Caenorhabditis elegans: one gene and its partner. The protein of the gene in region 1 purifies or fractionates together with the protein of each later gene. This does not show direct contact. Each region holds a gene or a part of one and is shown in the gene's direction. Other genes may lie near its edges. The genes, in order: lrk-1 and unc-16.

Evidence for each region.
Region 2: the proteins of lrk-1 (region 1) and unc-16 purify together in Caenorhabditis elegans (affinity purification with western blotting; one study listed by BioGRID). This does not show direct contact.

Annotation. Positions count from the first base shown.
Region 1 is NC_003279.8:10,891,019-10,896,239, reverse strand, and holds the start of lrk-1 (Leucine-rich repeat serine/threonine-protein kinase 1), read left to right. Parts: upstream 1-2,002; 5' UTR 2,003-2,014; coding exon 2,015-2,101; intron 2,102-2,148; coding exon 2,149-2,305; intron 2,306-3,095; coding exon 3,096-3,293; intron 3,294-3,402; coding exon 3,403-3,508; intron 3,509-3,558; coding exon 3,559-3,621; intron 3,622-3,896; coding exon 3,897-4,041; intron 4,042-4,050; exon of another isoform or gene 4,051-4,200; coding exon of another isoform or gene 4,201-4,337; intron 4,338-4,898; coding exon of another isoform or gene 4,899-5,082; intron 5,083-5,126; coding exon of another isoform or gene 5,127-5,221. Other genes in the region: mop-25.3 (MO25-like protein 3), read right to left, coding at 4,201-4,337, 4,899-5,082, 5,127-5,221. UniProt on the Caenorhabditis elegans protein: Determines polarized sorting of synaptic vesicle (SV) proteins to the axons by excluding SV proteins from the dendrite-specific transport machinery in the Golgi. Role in stress response.
Region 2 is NC_003281.10:9,544,646-9,549,517, forward strand, and holds the start of unc-16 (JNK-interacting protein), read left to right. Parts: upstream 1-1,649; 5' UTR 1,650-1,713; coding exon 1,714-1,779; intron 1,780-2,025; coding exon 2,026-2,154; intron 2,155-2,734; coding exon 2,735-3,014; intron 3,015-3,105; coding exon 3,106-3,286; intron 3,287-3,351; coding exon of another isoform or gene 3,352-3,408; intron 3,409-3,920; coding exon 3,921-4,042; intron 4,043-4,145; coding exon of another isoform or gene 4,146-4,176; intron 4,177-4,526; coding exon 4,527-4,695; intron 4,696-4,768; coding exon 4,769-4,812; intron 4,813-4,872. Other genes in the region: ZK1098.9 (uncharacterized protein), read left to right, coding at 312-433; ZK1098.12 (DUF2975 domain-containing protein), read left to right, coding at 597-629, 680-754, 798-899, 948-1,076, 1,125-1,223. UniProt on the Caenorhabditis elegans protein: The JNK-interacting protein (JIP) group of scaffold proteins selectively mediates JNK signaling by aggregating specific components of the MAPK cascade to form a functional JNK signaling module.

The DNA of each region.
Region 1 (5,221 bases):
AAATTCAATATTATTTGAAGTTTACAAAGAAATGGGATCGATGGCATGTCAAATACTGCTGACTAAACATTGAATAAACGGCGAAAAATGGGATGGATGAGAATTTTCATAGTAACTTTTTCACTGGAGACATTATGAATTTTGAGATTTTTCAAACTAAAATACCCTTTCTCTGGCATGGAAAATGTTTGAGATTTTGTACTGATGAAACTTTCGTCGTTCAATTGAAAAAGTTTCTAATGGGGTTCTACAAAAATTCATATAATATTTAAAACAATCGTTCTGACCTTCAGACCAATTTTAGATTTTTTTTAGAATAAAATAAAATTTAAAAAATTATTTTTTGAGTGATTTTTCACCAAATCACACAAGTTTCATTTTTAACGTCCGTAACAATAAGTGATGCTTAAGAACTTCTCTTGCAGTAGGCATTCTGTAGGTCGCTTTGAAGGCAGGCAGATAGGCCTGTGATCCGTCCCTTTAACCTAGCCTACGTAAAAGAGGTTGACTTTTGACTAGTTTTTTTGAAAGATATTAAGTCTAAAAACATTTATCATGGTGCTGGAATGACCCAATATCGTAACTATAGAAACAGTTGCAGATTTTTCGAAAATTTCAGTCAAAATTTTAAGGAATTTTTTAGCGGACTTTTTATTATTTTAGAACTGCTCTGCAGGTTTAAACTATTAGAATACTCAAATAGAAAATAATGCAACACAAATAAAAGAAAGCAAAGTTCGTTGAAAAAATGTTCCGGTTTACTTCCTTTTTGATTGTAAATTTAACAATTTCAATTTTTTTTGATAACTTTTACTATGACATTTTATTATTTAAGCATTACAGAAGTAGTTTTGAACAAATTCCTCCCGCCAATACCCCACGTTTAAATAGATTATATTTTTTCAAAAGTTCTTCCTAACCTGGTACAAAGGTCACATGCCCTAATTCATTTTCTGTGTCAATTTCGTAAAAGGTTCCAAAAAGGGGTGCCCAGACATCTGTCCATCTTTTCTCTTTCTTCCAATTCATTGCAACAAACCACCCTTCCCACACTTTATCGAAGAGAAATAGACACACGGATGGTTCATTAGAGCGTATTTTCTGCGCATGTCTCCCCAGTATTTGCCAATGTGTTCCCCCCTGTCAACATCGATTATCCTCTTTTTCATCTTTTTTGATGTTTCCGAATGAAAAAGAAATGGATACATTGTAATCAAATTGATTGGTTTTTCTTTGGTTTTAATTAGTATATATATCTAGTTGTAATTGTAACATATACCAATTTCTTATCAAATATTTGCTCATCTCACTTGAAAATGTTATTGTTTGAAATATATATGTGTTAACAAATAAATAAATTATACAGGTTGCAAAATGAGTTTTGCTCTCTGAGTAATTTATATTATTAAAATAAAAATTTCAAACCTGAAATTTTAAGTCATATGTACACTCAAAATATTCAAAAATTATATGTCTTATTTAATTGAAAAAATTTTCAAAATGATGTATTTTCACTCAAATTTAGAAAAAAATTAGTTAACTCCTCTAAGCTTCATCTTTTCCAAAAAAAAACAACATTATTTGAAAAAAAAAATATTTATTCAAGTTTTGAAAATTATTTTTAAAATTCTGTAAAAGTTTTTATTTGAGATAATTTAAAATAAAATCTTGTTTTTTTTTAAATTTTCAACTATGTTTTGATAACATAAAAACCTCATTTTTTGCCCGCTAGTGTCGGCGGGAATTCAAATTTATTAAGAACATTTTGGACGGGATATTAAATTTCTTCAGAAAAATGTATGAGAAATGAAAAACCACAGTACTCCAAAAAAGGCACGACTATTTTTTTGTTCAGTCGTGGTAGGACCTCATCCCTTAATTGTTAGACAAAATTTGAATTTTTAAACCATCATACAATAATTTCCTTGTTTATATTTTTCTTCATGAAACCGGTCAATTTCTCACATACTTTGGATAAAATTTATTTCAATAAAATTTCCAGAAAACATCCAAAATGGACCTCTCAAGTGGGGGTCCGTCATCTTCAAGCGATGTAGCTTCAGAATTGGATAATTCGGATGCAATGCAACTGGTTAGACAGGCAAGTTTCAAAAAATATTTTTAGAAAACAATGAAAATATTATTCAGGCAGTATTATTCGAGAACGTGGAGCTGCTGGCCGACTTGTTCAAAGTGAATCCTTGGGTATGGAATCGGGTTGATCGACATGGAAGGACACCGTTAATGTTAGCTGCTCATAATGGGAAGCTGGATAGTTTGAGGACTATTTTAATGCTTAGTCCTAGTGAGTTTTTGATATTTGAAGGTTTTTCAAAAAAAATTTTCGGCTACTAAAAAATGTTTTTTTTTTTGAAAATCGTAGAATTGTAAAAAAATGCAAAAAATCTAAATTTCATGGCTCTCTAACTATTTCATACTGGATCAAAAATAAAACACTAGCGATGTGTAGATTCACACATCTCTTGTACTTCTCGAGGAACAAATTTTACAGTTTCTAGAGTTTTTGGCTAGAATTCTTGAGGTTGTACCATTTTTGCCTATACCTTGTGTATGATAAACTAGAGTTACCAATTTTCAAAATTTTGTTTTAGATACAAATCGATGGATTTACTGTTGTAAACACTACTAAATTCTAGTTTTTCAAAAAAAAATTTCAAGCATTTGTTGTTAAAAGTTGAATTACCAAGTTTTGTTCATGTCAATGAAAAAAAAACTGATTTATTTACTAGAAAATAAAAAATTTTAATGTTAAAAAATTTAAGTAAGGTTTTCACGAATTTCAAGGTTAATGAAAATTATTTTGATAAAAAATTTACAGTACTTTCTTTTGGAAAAATCTAAAATTTTCAGAATTTTTAAAAAATTCTCTTAAAAAATTTTCTTAACTTTTCTTAATTTCCCTAAACCCAACAAAATCATGAAAACTGTGCAAAAAACTGGATTATTTTTTTGTTTTCTCATCGTGGAAGAATTTGGGTGGGCTCAAAGAAGCTTACAATACAAGCGTGGGATGAGCTGTGATACTTTTCTTTTTTGAAATACTCGAAATAATATAAATTTGAAAAATATTCCAGATTCTCTAAATCTTGTGAACGATCGTGGTAAGACCGCACTTCATATGGCAGCCGAATCAGGTGAAACTTCGATTGTTTTGGAGCTTGTCGAACTGGGCTCCGATCCAATGAAATCTGATAATGAAGGACATTGTGCATTGGAGTTAGCTCAAATGGCTGGACATAATGAGGTTGCCGCAAAGCTTATTGATGCTATTCGTAAGATTTTTTTATTTCGAAGAAAAAATTGAGTGTCTTTTTTTTGTGTCAGTCTTCATAAAAAATTAAAAAAATTTTCAAGGTTCTAGAAAAAATAGTAAATTTTCAGAAAAAGAAAGTGAAGATCTAAATGAAGCCCACACAATGATCATCAGTGCATGCATATCTGGAAGTGCTGACGTTGTTTATGAAATTTCAAGGAGATTTATGGAAAAGTCAGGGTTTTTTTTTCAATTTTTAATTTTTCTAAAATTATATGTTTCAGAAAACAAAGCCGCGAAATATTATTCAACGGTCGAAATGAAGAGGATGAGACTGCACTCTTGATGTAAGTTTATTTATTATTAACGGTTTAGTAGATCAATATTTTTGCTGTGATACACCGAAAAAAGTATGAAATTCCCTGCTACACCATTCAGCGATTAGCTCCGCCCACTCCGTTTGATTGGTTGAAAAGTCGGCGGATCGAGTCGCTGATTGGTCTAGCAGTTTCGCAGCTTGTTTCGGAGGGAATTCAAATTGCGATAATAATGAAAATTGAGTTTTTGAAGAGAAATCTCCCACTTTTCTTTTGAAATTTGTTTCCATAAAAATTTATTTCAGTGCCTGCACAAACGGTCATATCGAAATCGTCCGTCACTTATTACAATTCGAAGAGCATCTTCTACAAAGCCACGTATCCAAGGATACAGTAATCCATGCGGCAGTGTCGTCACAGAATGTGGAAGTGTTGCAGCTGTGTTTGGAGGTAAATTTTATAAAAAGTCGGGTTTATTCACAGAAAATTGAATGGCAAATCTAGTCGGAATATATCTGGAAAAACAGATTTTCACATCACAATCAAATGAAATGGCATATCTGAGAAATTGAAATTAAAAATATGAATAAAAAAAATAGGAGAGCTAGATTATTGACGGAACGGATTTCCGAATTTTAATGGTTCACGGAGGAATTGTTGGTTCGGGATGATGCGGGTACGGTAGACGTGATTCACTTTCGGAAGTCTTGGATTATTGTCGTGGAAGCAAGTTCGGACGAGTTGTTCTGAAAATTTTTAAGGGCTTTTTAGGCTTTTAGGTCATAGTAGAAATGAGCAATTTTTGTAAAATGGTGTCGTTTTTACAAAAAAAAAACGTTTGGACGAGTTTCATAAGTATTTTTAGTCTTTTTTGAAATTTAGCACAAACGAAACATGTTTGCGCCTTTAAAAACTATAGTAGTCCATCCCCATGTGGGTTACTGTAGATGATGAGAACGTTGGGGAAAGTCGGCATTTTTTCTCGATTTTTCGGTTTTTTTTTCTCAAAAATCAGGAAAATGTTGATTTTTTAAAAATAATTTTCAGAAAAAATTCAAAAGCAAATTTTTGTTACAAAAAGGTGTGCACTTTTAAAAAGTACTGTAGTTTCACTTTTTGGAATCCCTGTCGATTTTTCAAAGTTTTTTAATAAAAAAATATATTTTCAAAAATCGTGAGAAAAAACTATCGAAAATCTGGATAAGGAAAACAAAGTTTGAAACTACAGTACTCTTTGAAGTTCGTTTCGAGACCGAGCACCGTAATGTTGGCGGGAAAATCGCAAAATCTTGCATATGAATAATAACCTTCTCGCATTTTCTTTTGATGCGTCCATCCCTCCTCAAAATCTTGTAATTGTTCCTGGGTGAATGGTCTCTGCATATCCCAATTGAGCAACTTATAAGCCATCCGAGCATATTGAGCATCTTCTTTTTCATTTGGACTTCCCTGATAGTAGTGAATTGGGGCTGAGTTGAAGAAGAATGCAATCTGAAGATTTTGATGAGGATTTTTTAATTGGAAAAACTACTTACCAAAACATTTCGATTTCTACCAATGAACTCGTGAACTTCCGGCGAATTGCGTGGATTTCTAATAAATATCTCCAAAATCGAGACGGCTCGAGATC
Region 2 (4,872 bases), on another chromosome or scaffold:
GTCTCGACGCTACAATTGTTAAATTCTGAAAGGTGTGTGCCTTTAAAGTGTACTGTACTTCGAATTTTTAGACTTTTATTAGTTTTTCGATATTTAAATATTTATTTATTTATCTGAAACTATGAAAAATCGATGCAAATTCCATAACAACGAAAATCTGAAATTACAGTACTCTTTAAAGGCGCACACCTCTTTGGATCTATCAAAAACTTTGCCGTATCGAGACCGGGTATCGTATTAGCATGACGAAAATCGCAAAATTATCTGGATAATATAGTAATGCTGAAGAATAAAAATTTGCACATTTTCAGGCAAAGAAGACATGAAAAAACTGAACGGTATCGAAGGAATGCAAACGATCAAAGAAGAATGTGGAGGATCAACTGAAACATCCTCGTCGAAACCGAAGAAAAAAGCCAAGAAAGAAGTCTGATTTTTTTTTTTTGAATAAATTTTAAATTTCTTCGTGAAGACCTTTTCTACGTTCTTTTAATTTATAAAATAGACAACACTTTTAACTTGATTTCCTACTCATTTCGTTAAATTCAAATCTAGCAAAAGGGTTATACGGTTACAAATCTTTGTAAAGTAGAAATATGCTTTTGAACAAACTCATTGTGGCAAATATTGTGAGTTTCTAGTTTTCAGCAGATTATTTGGGAATCTTCTTGGTTTTCAGATGATTAGTGTGACTGTTCTACTCCAGGGAACTATTCCAATGGGGTACGTATCTGGACTCGCGTCATTTTGGATGGTAAATTCTCATCTTAAAGACGTTCCTAACTCTACGTTTTCAGCTCTCAGCAGGTAGCGTTTTCCTCGTACTCGCAGTCATCACATTCATCGCTCTGTTGTTTTTGAGTCGATCTAAATGCATGTTGGCAATGAGCCAAAGAAAAGTAATTCCTAGTTTTAGAAAGTTATTTTACATTCTACAAAAATTTCAGTTGGCCATCTATCATGCTCCAGCACCAGTCACATCGTTGCTTTCGCTCATCTTCTTCATCGTGTACACATTCAGTGCCAAAGCTCCCCACGAGCATACAGCAATTAAAAACTGCATTGTGCTTCTGGATGTAAATTATATTAATCGACATGATTTTCTCTTTAATCCAACAATTCAGGTCGGAGTGGGAATTGTTCTGATGATTTCTCTGGTGCAAGTGCTTCTAGCGTTCCTGAGCCACCCGGAATATCCTGAGGAAGATAATGATGAACGTTGATTTATTTCGTAATAAACTGATTCTTTCGTATTTGTTTTTTCATTGTTTTAACACATGTTGTCACACTAAATTCGTGGTTTTGACGCAAAAATAGCCTAAGAAACACATAATTTTGATAGAGTTTATATAAAAATTCGTAATAGCGGCGCAAATTGAAATTCTATTCATGCAAAACTTCTAATGAAGTGTTTTTATTCTGAATTCAATAGAAAAATAAATTCTGAAGCGCAAAACGGCAAAACCCACTCGACATGCGTGTAGTGCGTGACGCACAAAACGCTCCTCTTCCGCCAATTACCGTATTCTCTCATCCACGAGATTCACACATGCGCCCAGCCTTCTTTTATTGATTTTCTGTCGCCGCGGCGAAGGAGTGGCACTTTATTTACATAGCTTTTTTCATTGCAAAGCACAAAAGCAACATAATTTGTAGAATTGTCTCGTCAACTTGCTCTCACATGGACCAATAATCGACAGAACGACTGAAAAAATGGCTTGCAATTTGTCACCGGTGAATGAGATGGCAGACTCAATTACGAGCAGCACACCGTCTGAGGTAAGTGGTGGCAAATGAACCATTGTTGCAACCGAGTGGCAGCAGCAGCGTCTCCCGATAGTTATCTCGGTTCTCTTATCGTCGCCCCCTACTACTATTCCTCGGCCAGTAAATACCGTTATGTTTCTCTTCCGCACTTCTCTCTTCATTATTGATTGTCGCTAGACACAACAAAACAGTTGGGACGGGTAATAGGAGGATTTTTTTATGCTGCATTCGATATTGATGGGAGAAATGTTATCTCAGATTGTGTACGGCGGCCCCGGCTCACCAGATGAGCATCGAACAATGTCGGATAAAGTGCAGACAATGGCTTCGGCAATTTATCGAGAGTTGGAAACAATGATAAAAGTTCACGGAGAAGATGGCGTGAAAGTGAGTTTTTTCGGAATTTTACTTTAAAATTTATTTAAATGGCTGTTTTCGCAAAAAATGTCCCAAAACAACCGGATTTCATAATAAGACTGATGGTTTTGAAAAAAAAAACGCTTTCTTTCTTCTGAAATCTTCAATTTTGCCAACTTTTCCGTGTCGCAACGGCCGGAAATGAATTTTTATTGAGCATCATTTCGATCTTGCTTATTTTTAGTTGCCTATCGCTTCAAATGTACCAAACTCAACGAAGTAACACGAGATAAACGACAAAATAAGCGAAAATCGAATGAAAATAAATTTCCGACCGCTGTGGCACGGAAAAATATGCAAAATTGTAGATTTTAGCTCATAGTTAAATATTTTTCAAAACATAGAATCGTCATAATTAATTGAAGAACTTTTAAATGATATTTTTACGAAATTCGGACTTTTTAGACCATTTTTTGATCAGAAATTGAAATTCTATGTTTTTACTCTACTTCAATACTAAATTCAGTATGTTAAACCAGTCAGCAGGTAAATTTATGCTAATTTTCTTCTCTCTTTCTCTATTATCATTCAATAAACTAAACATTTTCAGACTCTGATGCCATTGGTTGTAAATGTGCTCGAAGCATTGGATCTTGCCTATTTGGAACGTGACGAGCAGACTGCAGAACTTGAAATGCTCAAAGAGGACAATGAACAGCTTCAGACACAATATGAACGTGAAAAAGCACTTCGAAAGCAGACAGAACAGAAATATATTGAAATAGAAGACACGTTGATTGGTCAGAATAAAGAGTTGGACAAAAAGATAGAGTCACTTGAATCAATAATGAGGATGCTCGAGTTGAAAGCCAAAAATGCCACTGATCACGGTTAGTTTGTTACAGTTAGTTAATTGTCACCTCAATTATTAACTCTTGTGTTTTTCTTGGATAAATTTTTAAAAAAAGTATTATTTTTCAGCCAGTCGTCTGGAAGAACGTGAAGTGGAACAAAAGCTCGAATTCGATCGTCTCCACGAACGATATAATACTCTATTACGAACCCATGTAGATCACATGGAACGTACAAAATATCTAATGGGAAGTGAAAAATTCGAATTAATGCAGAATATGCCATTGCCAAATATGCAACTTCGAAACAAGTAAGTTTAATTTAATTAAATTTAAAAAAGTGATTAATATTTGACTGTTGTGTCGTTGTTTGTAGTTGGTTTCCAATATCACATCGCTTACATAAGAGTGGTGATCAAAGTAATTTGTCATTGTGAGTTTTGTGTCTGGAATTTTTGTTATTTTTCGGGAAGGTTTTTTTATTTTTCAAATTTTTGATTTTTTTTCGATTTGGTTATCCTCCACTTCACTCCAAATTTTGAAGCGCATGAAGAAATAAAAATCACCAATTTTTTTGAATTTATTTTATTTTCTTGATTTTCCAAATTTTTTATCACTGCTCTAAATGTCAGAAAAGAGATCATAATTACTGTTTAAAAAAATTTTCTAAATTTTTATGTTTTCTCCAATTTTGCAAAAAATGCGATATTTGTTGTTAAATTCCCGCAAACGATATAGATCTTTGAAAATGCTTCAATTATATTTATTGTTTAAAAAAATTGTATAAATTCGCTCATTACGATATACAATTTAAAGCAAAATTCCCAATTTTATCATTTTCCAAAAAGAATTTTGTTAGGCAAACACTTCTTCCACCTTTAATAACTTGGTTCGGTCCCCTAAAATCAAAATTTTAATTTTTAAAAGATATTATTTAAATTACAGAATGGGCATGGCTGCTTCTGTGGATGCATCATCAATTCGTGGAGTATCTGATCTTATTTCTGCTCATATGACACAATCAACCACGATGGATGTTAATCTTGCAAATCACATCACAAACGAAGGTGAGTTTTTTACGCGACCCTTCACAAATATGTAAAAATACAAAAAATTCTATATATCGCAAAATTTAGTTTATTTATTTATTTCCGATAATTTTTAACTAACATGAACTCGAATCCTCAACTAACCTTTATTGGTATGCCAGTTTTCTTCCGATTTCCATGCTGCAAAGGTGCGGCACGGGTTTTCGCAACCGCCGCGCGTTTTTTTAAAACTTTTTTTAACAGGAAATTTCCAACGGATTTTTTTCTGTAAATTCACTTATTTTCCAACTGCATTGGTTTATTGCTCAATTTTTAGACCTTTTTGGCTTAAATAAACCAGTTCAGTTGGAAAGAAATTTTAAATTTCCCATTAAAAAACCATTTTTAATTGTATTCCGTACGATGTTTCCTGTTGAAAAGTGAAAAAAAACCCGCTCCGCACCTTTTCTCAATGGAAATTGCAACCCTCATTCTTTTAAATCTTAAAATACTAATTTTCCAGACTGGCAAGACGAATTCTCATCAGATATCGAACCATCACCCAGGGATATTCCACAATCATCTGCTGATGCGTTGACTTCACCAATTACAACCAAAGAGCCGACTCCTAAACGAGAAGCTGCTTCACCGAAACAATCAGAAGAGGAAGAAGCTGACGAGACAACTTCTGTGTAAGTTAATTATGATTTTAAAATTTTATTAGGAATTTATATAAGAGTTTTGAAATCTATTCCAATTTTTCAGAGATCCCAAGGAAAATAACGATTTGCTCGGTGCTGATCTCACAGGTTGGTTTTTTTGTATTTAATAATTAAAAATCAAGTGAAATCGTCTAATTTATCTATTGT